3 linked regions of the Diceros bicornis minor genome follow. The protein of the gene in region 2 purifies or fractionates together with the protein of the main gene of each other region. This does not show direct contact. Links are inferred from orthologs where the notes say so. Each region holds a gene or a part of one and is shown on either strand. Other genes may lie near its edges.

Evidence for each region.
Region 1: the proteins of SLC39A11 (region 2) and FAM174A purify together in Homo sapiens (co-immunoprecipitation; 3 studies listed by BioGRID and IntAct, counting the BioPlex papers as one, with this or other methods). This does not show direct contact. The link is inferred for Diceros bicornis minor from reciprocal best matches to the Homo sapiens genes SLC39A11 and FAM174A.
Region 3: the proteins of SLC39A11 (region 2) and GALNT16 purify together in Homo sapiens (co-immunoprecipitation; 3 studies listed by BioGRID and IntAct, counting the BioPlex papers as one, with this or other methods). This does not show direct contact. The link is inferred for Diceros bicornis minor from reciprocal best matches to the Homo sapiens genes SLC39A11 and GALNT16.

Annotation. Positions count from the first base shown.
Region 1 is NC_080740.1:25,273,705-25,277,451, forward strand, and holds the start of FAM174A (membrane protein FAM174A), read left to right. Parts: upstream 1-1,180; 5' UTR 1,181-1,362; coding exon 1,363-1,802; intron 1,803-3,747.
Region 2 is NC_080757.1:53,906,234-53,909,980, reverse strand, and holds the start of SLC39A11 (zinc transporter ZIP11), read left to right. Parts: upstream 1-1,364; 5' UTR 1,365-1,426; intron 1,427-3,747. UniProt on the Homo sapiens protein: Zinc importer that regulates cytosolic zinc concentrations either via zinc influx from the extracellular compartment or efflux from intracellular organelles such as Golgi apparatus. May transport copper ions as well.
Region 3 is NC_080763.1:17,780,092-17,783,838, forward strand, and holds the start of GALNT16 (polypeptide N-acetylgalactosaminyltransferase 16), read left to right. Parts: upstream 1-1,455; 5' UTR 1,456-1,609; intron 1,610-1,998; 5' UTR 1,999-2,111; coding exon 2,112-2,288; intron 2,289-3,747. UniProt on the Homo sapiens protein: Catalyzes the initial reaction in O-linked oligosaccharide biosynthesis, the transfer of an N-acetyl-D-galactosamine residue to a serine or threonine residue on the protein receptor.

The sequences.
Region 1 (3,747 bases), on a different chromosome or scaffold from region 2:
ATTACTCTGTTACCCCCAAGCAGCTAAAAGGCACTATCCCATCCACCCTACCTACAATAGTCCTTTACATAATTTTTGCTGTAGATCCTGTACTTGTCATTTGTAACACACTTCAGAATTCAGAACGAGTACAATTGTTTATTTATCATCTCCATTTGAACCTAAGTGGTATGAGAACAAGGATCACATCTTATTTGTCTACTATTCAATACTCATAATTTAGCACTGGGCTAAGCAAGGAGTAGAAACTCTAGACAATTTGTTGAATAAGTTTTTTTAAAAGAACAAATATTAACTTCGGTTTCTGATCAGGTGGGTTTTTTGTCTGTTTGTTTGTTAGTATCTGCTCAAACCAAAGTTCCATGCTACTGATGTCAAAGTTAAACAGGCAAGGAACACTTTAATATTTAAGAATATCACAATAGAGGAGAGAGGCCAGAACCGTGTCGGAACTCAACTCCCCAGAAAGAAACAAAGAGCCGGAGAAATTTTAAGAGCTAGGGTAGGGAGCATCATAGGCCACCTATGTTTACTAACTGAACTTACCCAAAGGAAAACTTAACTTTTTCTCGTAGCTTCGTGACAAGAGGTAGTTTTACAGTTTGGAACACGGCGCCTGCCTAAGTTAGGCTCCTACACTTCCACAGAGAATGAGATAGGGGTGCTATCTTCTTTGTGGATTATATTTCAAAAGGATGGCTCCAGGTCCTTAAGAAAGACGGTCCTGGGTTGTAAAACTGGCAAGAGCTTTTAAAAAGATTTATATCTCAAAAGGGCAGAGAATGAACTTACAATTACAAGGTTTCTAAAGTAAATGCTCTGAGGAAAGGGAGGTCAGGGACCTACATAGAGGCAGGAAGAGACCTGTCTAAAATTTGTACCCTAGCTGAGGGAAATGCCAAGCCTGTCTTCATCAATGATTAGCTGTGTTTCTGCAGTTTTGTACCAAGGAACTGAAATTATGAGCTTCCAACCCCTCACGGTTCCCTCAGGCAAAGAGTTGCTGCACACTTTACACAATCCCTTATTTACATTCTTACTCGTGACCCATCCGCAAACCTCTCCGCACTCCTTCCGGCAGGGCGCGTGCGCAGACGGTCGTGCGCGCCTGACGTCACTGAACGCGCCTGCCTCTACATGTTAGCAACCCAGGGCGTCCGTAGTAGCAGTGGCTGCTGAGATGTACGAACTTCCGGTTCTCGCAGCAGCTTTCGCCGCTGCCGCCTCTGCCACCTGCCGCGGCCGAGCCTCACCGCACGATTTGGTCATCTCTTCCTCGTTCTCCACTGCGCCCATGATCCCTCCTGGAGCCAGGGCGGCGGGCCCGGCGGCTCCCGTGTGGTGAGAGGGCGGTCGGGGACGATGGAGGCCCCGCACTGCAGCTGCTGCCTCAGCCGCCTCCTGGCCTCCGCCCTCCTGCTGCTGCTACTACTGCCAGGGTTCAGAGGGCCCTTGGCGGTGCTGCTGCAGGCGGCCGAGGCAGCGCCGAACACCAGGCCTCCGGACCGTGGGTCGCGGACCCTGCAGCCTCTGCCGCCCGGCCCCACCGCCGCCCACTCGCCGGGCCGCGCTCCGGCCGAAGCCGCGGGGCCGAAAGGCGCTGAGGGCGGCAATGGCAGCAGCCCCGGGGCGGGGCTTGCGGCGAACGATCAAGGAGGGAAGGCGGGGGAAGAAGGCTCAGTGGGTGGCGGCCTCGCTGTGAGCCCCAACCCCGGCGATAAGCCCATGACCCAGCGGGCCCTGACCGTTTTGATGGTGGTGAGCGGCGCGGTGCTGGTGTACTTCGTCGTCAGGACGGTCAGGTGAGGCGAAGCCTCGATCAGCCTCCCCCGCAGGCCTGAGATGGGCTGCCTGGTGACTTAGCAAGGCAGATTTTTTGACCCGGCATAGTTGCCCCATCCCTGCCTCCAGTATCAGAGGTGTCTGCCTGAGTGAGACTGCAAAGATGACCGTCTTAAAAGTCTGTGGTACCTCTGGGAGAGATTTGGGAAAGTTTTTTCTTACTAGCAGTTTCTTAGTATTGGCCTTGATTCTGCCACCTAAGTAATTAGGTTGTGCCATAAGAAGTTTCCTACATTCCACCGTTTTTGACCTCGAAAAGTGACAGTTTTGTATAGTTCAATCTATGACAGACTCCCCGTTAATCAGAAACATTTAGCATTCATTTTGCATGGCACAAAGTGTTTCAATGCAAAGTGGTATCAGTTGCATGATAAAATGGAAAACTGATACCTATGCAGCAAAGGAAAAAAAGTCATAAATATGATCCAGTTTTAATATTGGAGCAAATGTTTAATAGCCTAACAAAACTATATCTAACTTTAAATTTACAAAAATTTGAAGTAATACATGGATAAATTTGATATTTCACATACAAAAAAACTTTCTAAAATGAGTTCATCTGTAAATAATAATTCTAACATTCAGAAGTTTAAATTTACAGAATAGGTTTTTGAGTCTGTTCTTACTACAGAATACTAGATCATGGAGTTATTTAAATTTCAGATTTGGAACAGTTATGATGACTTAAATGACACTTTTCACTTTACATCTAAGGAAATTGACTCAGAAAGGTAAAGTGATTTATCTGGTGTCCCATGGGGTCTAATGATAATGTATGATTGTACAATCCACTGTTTACTTTGAATTTTTTTTCCCGGTTAACAAGATATCTGTGTCCTGATCTCTGATCAACCTTTTGATGAAGTAAACTGGGTCATTATGTTGTAAGTACCAGGTTATGAATAAAGCAGATGGTTGCCACTTATTTTTCCATTCCCCTTAATGTCTTATCAAGTAGAAAAGGAATTACATAATCCACTTAGTGATATTTGTTGTGGTTATCAGTAATCTCCATTTGATACATTCCTTTGTTACTGAAGTAAACTTTTTTTATGACATCAATCATGATATTAAAATATTCCAACCATGTAATCAGATTGATTTGGAAAAATCTATAATAAAGCCTCTTTAAGCTAGTTAATTGGGGACCACTTCTCTGAAGAGCTGACATACAGAGCCAAGATGTCGCTTTTAGAAGGAGCTAGCCAAAAGAAGAGCTGAGGGACCGCTGTCTAGGTAGTTTCCTCCTCTGTAAAATAGAGTAGAGGGTAGATTTGCATGAATGCACTGGTTTGTTGTTTTCCAAACTATTTCACATTTTTTTCCCATAACTACCTACCCTCTATTGTTTCATATATTTCTTTAAATGTATTATTTAAGCTAAAAAATTCCTTTTAAACAAATCTGTTTATTATTTTGTGAATGGAAAATAACATCCCTTGCTTACATAGCTGATTGAAAAAGTACAGCGTAAGCCACTGGTTCTAGACATGTGGTCCAGGGAACCCTGGGAGTGTGGAAGGTTCTCTGAGACCTCTTCAAGAGATCTGCAAGATCAAAACTGTTTTCAGAATAATACATTCTCTTACAAGCTTATTGGGTACAAGAAGTTCATTGATAAAGTTTTGAATTCTATATTGCAACTAACTTTTAAGAGACTACCTCTTGTTGAGTTTTGGTGTCGTATCAAAAAGGAATAAACACTAGTATCTGAAAGGGCTATTAAAATGCTCCTTATTTTTCCAGGTTCATGTCTGTATGAACCTGGATTGTCTTCATATCCTTCAACCAAACAACACATTGCAAATGGTTGAATGCAGAACCAAATATGGAAATCTTGCTTCTGTTTCTTTCTATTTTCCATCTAGTTCTATCTGTTTAAGCCAGACATTAAAAGGATTTGAA
Region 2 (3,747 bases):
AGCACTGCTGACGGTAGGAACGGAGCTGCCAGTGCCCTGGTTTGCCCTTATGCCTTATGTTACCAGGAGGGAGGATCCAGCCAGATGGTTTCCTCTGGTGATTCTAACAGAAACCACCCAGTCGTTTTTTTTTTTTTATTTTAACAATGCTGTTAGAAAGCCTCCAGTATCATTCAGCATGGCACTCTAATGAAGAGGGGAAAGGCCTTCCTTGTGCTCTGCGGGTTAAATAATAAAGAGCAGCTGTAAGTGGAGGGACAGGCGGCGTGAGCTATGGCAGCGGGGCTGCTCGTCTTCATTAGTGTCATCTGCAGAAAGCTTCATCTTAGACGTGGGGTGGGCCCTGAGGTCGCCCAGCTGGTCTCTCCAGGAGACTGCAGAGATCAGCTTGGCCTTGTTTTCGAGAGTTTAATGAACTCCGTGGCAGGCAGAAGCGCCCTGATGTCTCCCTTCCGTTCTTGTTGCCCGAAGAGTGTCTCTTCTTTGTCTGAGATGGTGGTTCTCAAGTGGGGGCTGTTCTGCCCCTCAGGAGACATTGGCAATGTTGGGAGACATTATCGGTTGTCACAACTGGGAGAGGGGGCCCCTGGCATCTAGTGGGTAGAGGGATGCTGCTAAGCATTCTACCATTCACAACAAAGAATGATCCAGCACAAAATGTCAATAGTGCTGTGCTTGAGAAATGCTGGCCTAATAAACAAAGCAACCACTGAATCCAAGATGTTGTTTTGGACCGTTGCATTCTCTTTCTTGAAATCTGGAGGAAAGAATGAAGAGAGGAAATAAAACGACTCTTTAGGCAGTATCCACTGCAGTCCTCCTGCAGTGTGATGCTGTCATTGCTAATAAAAAGCTGTAAGACACTTGGCACTTTTGGATGGTTTCTCCTGATATTGAAACAAAAAAAGAAATAGCACATGCACAGACTCACAGACTGCTTAAGGGATAAATTTTATTCAAAAACCCCGTGTTCCTCACATTTGATGTCTATAGGAATATCATGGGGATCTGGTTAAAATGGAGATTCTGATTCATCATGTCAGGGTGTGGCCTGAATTTTGCATCTCTGCCAGGCTCACCACTTGGGAGCTCCTAGGCGGTGTCCGTGTTGCAAGCGCATAGTCACACATTGAGAAGCAAGGCACTAACCTGACCTTTGGTATTCCTAAGCCTGTGGGGGGCCTGGGATTGTGGCTCCCACCCGTCATTTACATTTGGATAACAGGAGAGGCCTTTGCAAAGCTCTGTGCATGAAGAGTCAGCTTTCCTTCACACGTGTGATGTGATGTGGCGTGACTGACTCATCCTGGTTTGCCCAGAACTGTTGCAATGTAAACCAAAAGTCTTGCATCCAAGAAATCTTTCAGTCCTTTGAAAACAGGACGGTTGGTCACCCGGTGAGCCCCCCTATATCCCCAGGGGAAAGGTAAGGTTGGACCTTTCGAATTTCCTTTAATGAGGAAGGCTCTGAAAAGGAAAGGGGACTCAAGGAAAGCTTTTTATTTAGTTATGTCAGTTTCTCTCCTTTTCTGGGAATAGAAGCGGGTATGATGTCAGGAAACTCCACTGCCTAACATCGGGGCACATTTTGTGTCACCAGGAGGATTGTGTTTCTCCTCTTTTACCTGTAAATTGTGCTGTTCACCAAAATGTCCCTCAACCTTCCGTCTTTCCTTCCTCGTATCCCTGCTACCCACTGCTTCCAGACTCTTCCCCATCTCCTCCTTTGAGCAGGCCACACCCCTACTCTAAAACTTTCAGCATTTCCTGACAAGTTCTCAAGGATTTTGCCCTCAAGGGAATAACTTTGGAGTGGGTAGAAAAAAAGTGCAAGATGTCCCCAAACTCTTAAGTAGCTCGTATTCTCAATGGGTGACAAATATATATGACTCATCTTTTTGAAAGGTCAAGATTTTATATTACTAAGGTCTGCCATGCTAGACGGAGTGCAGGGTCTGTGTTGATGTGGATTTGCAGGTGAATTAGGGCAGACTCAGTAAGGATACCATCTAAACCCTCCCTTCTGTGGCTTAGCCAACTTCAGGGTAGTTGGCCAAATACCCCTGGTTAATTTCTGCCTCTGGGCCTTTGCTTAAACTAGTCTCCCCATCAAGACTGCCTTTTCCTTTCCTCTCTGCCTACCTACATCCTTTACTGTTCTATAAGGATCTCGCCGTCACCATCCCCTTCACTCTTCCAGCCCTTCATGATCTCTCTTCTAGGACTTCCAGCATTTAATCGATGTGGTACTGGTTTCCAACTGAGTAGTAACCACAGTCTGGCCCGATAAGGGTTCAAAGACAGGGCAGCCTCTTCAAGAGAAGAGAATGAATAAGCATTCACGGTCGGGGAGACCATCTTAGGATGAGCCCACCAGCCTCCTGGACCAGCAGCTGCACTGACTTCTTTGATTAATTTCGCACTTAGGGCTTTTTGTGAGATCACGTTCTAGAAGTCTTGCCTGGGAGTGTGCACTGTAAAAATTGAGTCTTAAAAAAATGTAGGTCACCGCTCATTTATTTGACAAATACTTATTAAATGTCTTCTCTGTTTACTGGAGGGAGGGCACACATTCATTATAATTCCCTTTAGGGGTGAAAAACCTAATTGGTATACATGTTAGAACAGCAATGGACAAGGGGTGGGAGCTACTGACATAGTTAACTGTTTTGCGTGGATATATTTACATTGTTGTTTTCCTGGTTTCTGGAAGCCAAGGACCGTGTGTTTCATTTATTCTCTACCTCCTGCAGCCGTGACTCCCAGCTTAGGGTTCCTGAGCTTGAAGGACCGCCTAGTATCGTGTTTATCAATTATTAATGTTTCCAAAGGCCAAATGAGGCAAATTAAAATCCAATTTCTTTGCTTTTGGCTGGAATGACAGCCTCTTAGTTCTGTAGCCCTGATATCTCATGTTGATCTGAAGCTCTGATTGGTGGTTACATTAGTGTGTCTTGGATGAATAAAAAATGGGGAAAAGAATTAATTCTTGCTTAACATTGACCAAAAACTATTTTTGGGGGGGTGTGGGGTTAGAGAAATAATAATAGGGTGATTTATAGTTAGCACAGAGATGGTTACACACTAGATAATCAATGCTTGTTAAAATGAACACAAAGTAGATTTTGGTATTAAAATGGACTACAGCATGCTTCCCCACTATGGCTATAGAAAGTTCTGGAAGAACTCAGCATAGCCCTCTCAACTCCAGAAGCAGGCACCTCAGGAGACAACATTCTAAAGTCCAAATGCCATGTGGTCCTGTGATAGCAGCTGGATATGTGTCAGGGGCCCTGCATGAAGCCCCACTTTTTGTACTTTTCTGGGGATGGAGGGAGGAGAAAAGGAGTCTTAGACTTGAACACTTTGCCCTGAAATTGTGGTTTCCTGGGAGTATCCAGGGAGCATTTGAAATGGCCAGAGGAATGGGGTCTCTGGTGGGTAGTGGGAGCCCACACGTCTATGGGAGCCTCAGGGCTCAGATGTTCTGTCTGAGCCAAGGCCCCGTCAACCATCTGTCTGTGAAACTAGAAGGCAAGAGAGTGAACGGCAGTGTGACAGGCTTGCCTGGCGGTGACAGGCAGTCCCCAGGGGCTCCGAGAGGAGCACGTGCATGGGGGAGGGAGGGAGGGACTTCCTTGGGCCTTTGGGTCTCATCACGTGGAGACTACCTCATTCTGCAGCTGGCCTGTTGAGGAGCTAATGAGGTGAGGAAAATTCTTGGGAAATGATTGATTAAAACAAATC
Region 3 (3,747 bases), on a different chromosome or scaffold from region 2:
CTAGGGCCACCTTCTTGGTCGGGCCATTTTTGGACTTGTCTAGGTGTCCCCGTGGTTAGTCTTCTGTGGGAGGAAGAGGGTATTGCAATTGCCATGATGGCCTTTCTGCAGCAAAAAGCAAAAAGGAGGGGCCGGCCCCATGGCATAGTGGTTAAAGTTCCAGGTGCTCTGCTTTGGCGGCCCAGGTTCACAGGTTTGTGGGTTTAGAGGGTTCGGATCCTGGGCACAGACCTATGCTGCCCTTCAAGCCATGCTGTGGCAGCGACCCACATACAAAATAGAGGAAGACTGGCACAGATGTTAGCTCAGGGCTAATCTTCCTCAAAAAGGAAAAAAAAAACCCTTAAAGTTTTCTTTCTTCATTTCACTTCCCTCCAATAGAAATGTACTGAGCATCAATTATATGTGTGGTTGGGTCCTGAGTGCTGGAGAAACGGGGGAAATGAGTGGTGCTGATGGGGGTTGGGTGAAGGCATGAGCTATGACTCATCATTTGCCAGATACCTGAGGCACCTTCTTTTACAGGCTGGGACCGTATGTGGGCCTTCATTTGAGCCAGTGTCCAGCAGCACCAGCAGGCAGCAAACTCCCTGCCAACTCTGGCAGGTCCCTGGGATTCAAGGGCCTCCTGAGTCCAGACTCACCCAGCCTGGCCAACCTCAACTGCCACCAAGTCCTTCCCAGCATCCTGGGCCCCAGCAATACAGGCAGCTCTCTTCCTTGAACATCAAGTACATATTTCCATCCTCTGGACCTTCGCTCTGGCTATTCATGCAGCCGATACTCTGCCCTGCCCTTCCCTGCCTCTTAAGAATTTATTCGAAGGATTTATCCACCCTCTGTGAGAAACCTTCCCTAAGAGCACCTTGCAATACGTTATTTCTTCCTCTGCCATCCCTGCTTGGTTTATTTAACATCTATTCGTTGAGGGTTTGCTCTGTGCCTGACCCTGTGCTGGTCTCCTAGAACTAATTTAGCCCACCTTGCCTTCTGCTGGGAGTGAGAGTGGTTCACACCAGATTCTCAACGCCTCCAGGGCTGGGGCAGAATCTCAACGATTTCTGTGTCCGTGTCTCTCACCACCGTGTTTTGCACTTTGTCGAAAGTGTCGGATGGAGAGAGGGCTTCTAGACTGGGCTCTGCCCACTAATTAGTCGTGTGGCCTTGGGCGAATCTTCCAGCCTCTCTGGCCTCCCTTCTTCCCGATGAAATGGTTATGATGATACCTCAGGGTTGTCCAGGGGCCAATGAGGCGGGGTACAGGGAAGCATCATGAAAGCTGGGAGCCCCAGGCCAATGGAAGATGTGGGGTGGTTGTGCCCCCTTTCTCCTTTCACTGGCTGTGAAGCAGCGTCGCTCCCCCTTCACTCTCTTCGAATGTCAAATGCACCAGCTTCCAATCCCTCCTCGGGGCGGGCCCTCGGGCGGCTCGGAATCCTAGGCTGCGGAGGATTCCGGTGCAAACTCAAGACTCTGCTCCCACCCAGCCGTCCCTTCCCAAGGACTCGCCGAACACACCTTAAACCCGGCGCCAGAGCGCAGTTCAGAGTGCAGCCCAGAACTGCAGCTCCGCGGCGCTGGCCCTGGCCGGGTCGCGCATCTCCAGCCGGTGACTCAGGGCCGCTCGGTCAGGGGGTGGGTGGAGGTAGGCGGGACCGACCAGGGCCACGCGGGGGCAGCCGCCGGGCGCTCGGTCGCCGAGCGGTGGGAGCGGAGACTCGCTCTGGCCCGTCGCCATTCCGCCGCGGGCGTCTGCCTCGCCGGGCCTTCCTCCGGCGCGGCTTTGCACCCGCCGCGCTCCTCTCCGGGTGCGCAGCGGCCCGGGCTGCCGGCGGGGGCTGGAGCGCCGGGCGGGCTCTGCGCGCGAATGAATGGGCGCCCGGGGGATGCGCGCGCTCGGGGCTGAAGGGCATTAGGACCGTGAGGATCGCTCCACGCTCCTGTCTCTCCCTATCACCCCCCCCAACCCCCCACCTCTCTCCTTTTTCTGCTCTGCAGGACTGAGCAGCCAGGCGCGAGCGAAAACAAACAGCTGGGGCTGCAAGCGCCCCCGCCCCGGCCCGGAGAGCACGCCGGTCCGGGCCCCCACTCGGGGCGCCCGCCCGCCCACCATGAGGAAGATCCGCGCCAATGCCATCGCCATCCTGACTGTAGCCTGGATCCTGGGCACTTTCTACTACTTATGGCAGGACAACCGAGCCCACGCAGCATCCTCCGGCGGCCGGGGCGCACAGAGGGCCGGCGGGAGGCCGGAGCAGCTCCGCGAGGACCGCACCATCCCGCTCATTGTGAGTACGCCCTGCGCGCCGGGCGGCCGGCCCGGGAGCCGCGGCGCGCATCGTAGCCCCACGCGGCTGCAGAGGGCGCGGGGCCCGGCCGGGGCTGCGTGCCCGCGGCGCCCTGCTGGCTTTGTATATGTTGGAGCATTCCTGCCCGTTGTTATGGCAACCTCCGTCGGGCTAGCGAGGCCGGGGCGCATGGATGGAGGGAGGGTGACAGCGGGTGGGGGCTGGGAGAAAGTGCTGCAAGTTTGGTGGGCCCGGCGTGCGCGCGCGACTGGGAACGTGGCGGCTCTCTCGGCACTGCGCCGCCGGCCAGGGGGCCGGGGACTGCCCGCGCCTCGCCCGCCCCGGAAGGCGGCTGGACCTTGCGCGCAGCAAGCAGGCAATGGGAACCGCGCGCTGCTGAGCGTGTAGGTGGCCGTGCGCACCCCCACTCCAGCCTCTTGGGGGCAAAGGACGTGGGGTAGGGGCTCCGGGTAAGGCAGGGTCGCTAGAGGCTGGGCCCAGCTTTGCGTCCACTTCTCAGCCAGGGTCAACTTGAACCTGCTTCTTTGGCACGGAGGACTCCCCACTAACACCTCCCGGGGTTCTCTGGGTCGGGGAAAGGTTTCGTCCTGTACGCGCCCCTCACCACAACGCTAGGGTCCATCATGACGAGTGAGTGGACAGTGTCTTTTCTCGGACTCAGAGATTCCCTCTCACGAGGTCAGCCCCGCGACGTCAACGCGAGAGAGGAAACAAAGGCGGCGGAGCCCGGCGGGGCCCTCGGCGGAGCTGCGGGGGCCTTAGGCGCTCCGGGGACCCGGGCTGGGGTGTGCGGAGCCCCCGCCGCCCTGCAGGGGGCGTTCCTGTCGCAGCCTCCGCCCGGCCCCCGGGTGACATCTTCGTGTGGTAGGGGCACCTGTTGAGGCAGGAGGCTCCGGGAGCCGCCGAGAGGCGCGCTTCGGCGGGCCACGTTCCTGCGACCGGGGTGGGCACCGGGCGAGAGCCCTGGGCGACCCTCGGGACGAACTGCTGAGCGGGGGCAGCCCGGCCGGACGAGGACCAGGAGGAGGGAGAGCAAAGTGTGGGGCCGGGGATGGGGGCGTGCAGCAGGGTGGCCATTCTGAAGTGAAAAGATCTGGGCCTGGGGAGGGAGGAGTGAGGAGCTCCTGGGGAGGTGCGGGGTCAGGAGGGCGAACGAAGGCCTGAGTGCGGTAGAATCAGATGGTTTTTGCGCCAAGGTGGCTGAGCCCCAGGAATATGGTGGGGAGGGGGCGGCGTCGGTGTGAAAGTGCTCTCATATTCCCATCCTGCCCCAGATTCCGTGTCTTGTCACCCACCCAGGAAGAAGTGAAAATCCCCTGCCAAGCGACCACATTTCCCACCTCTGCCTGAGGAGACCTTGGGGTTTGTGGGTTTTCCTACAGCCCCCTCCCCCAATTCCCAGATCCCCCTCTGATTGAAATCTCTGGGGGTGAGCCTG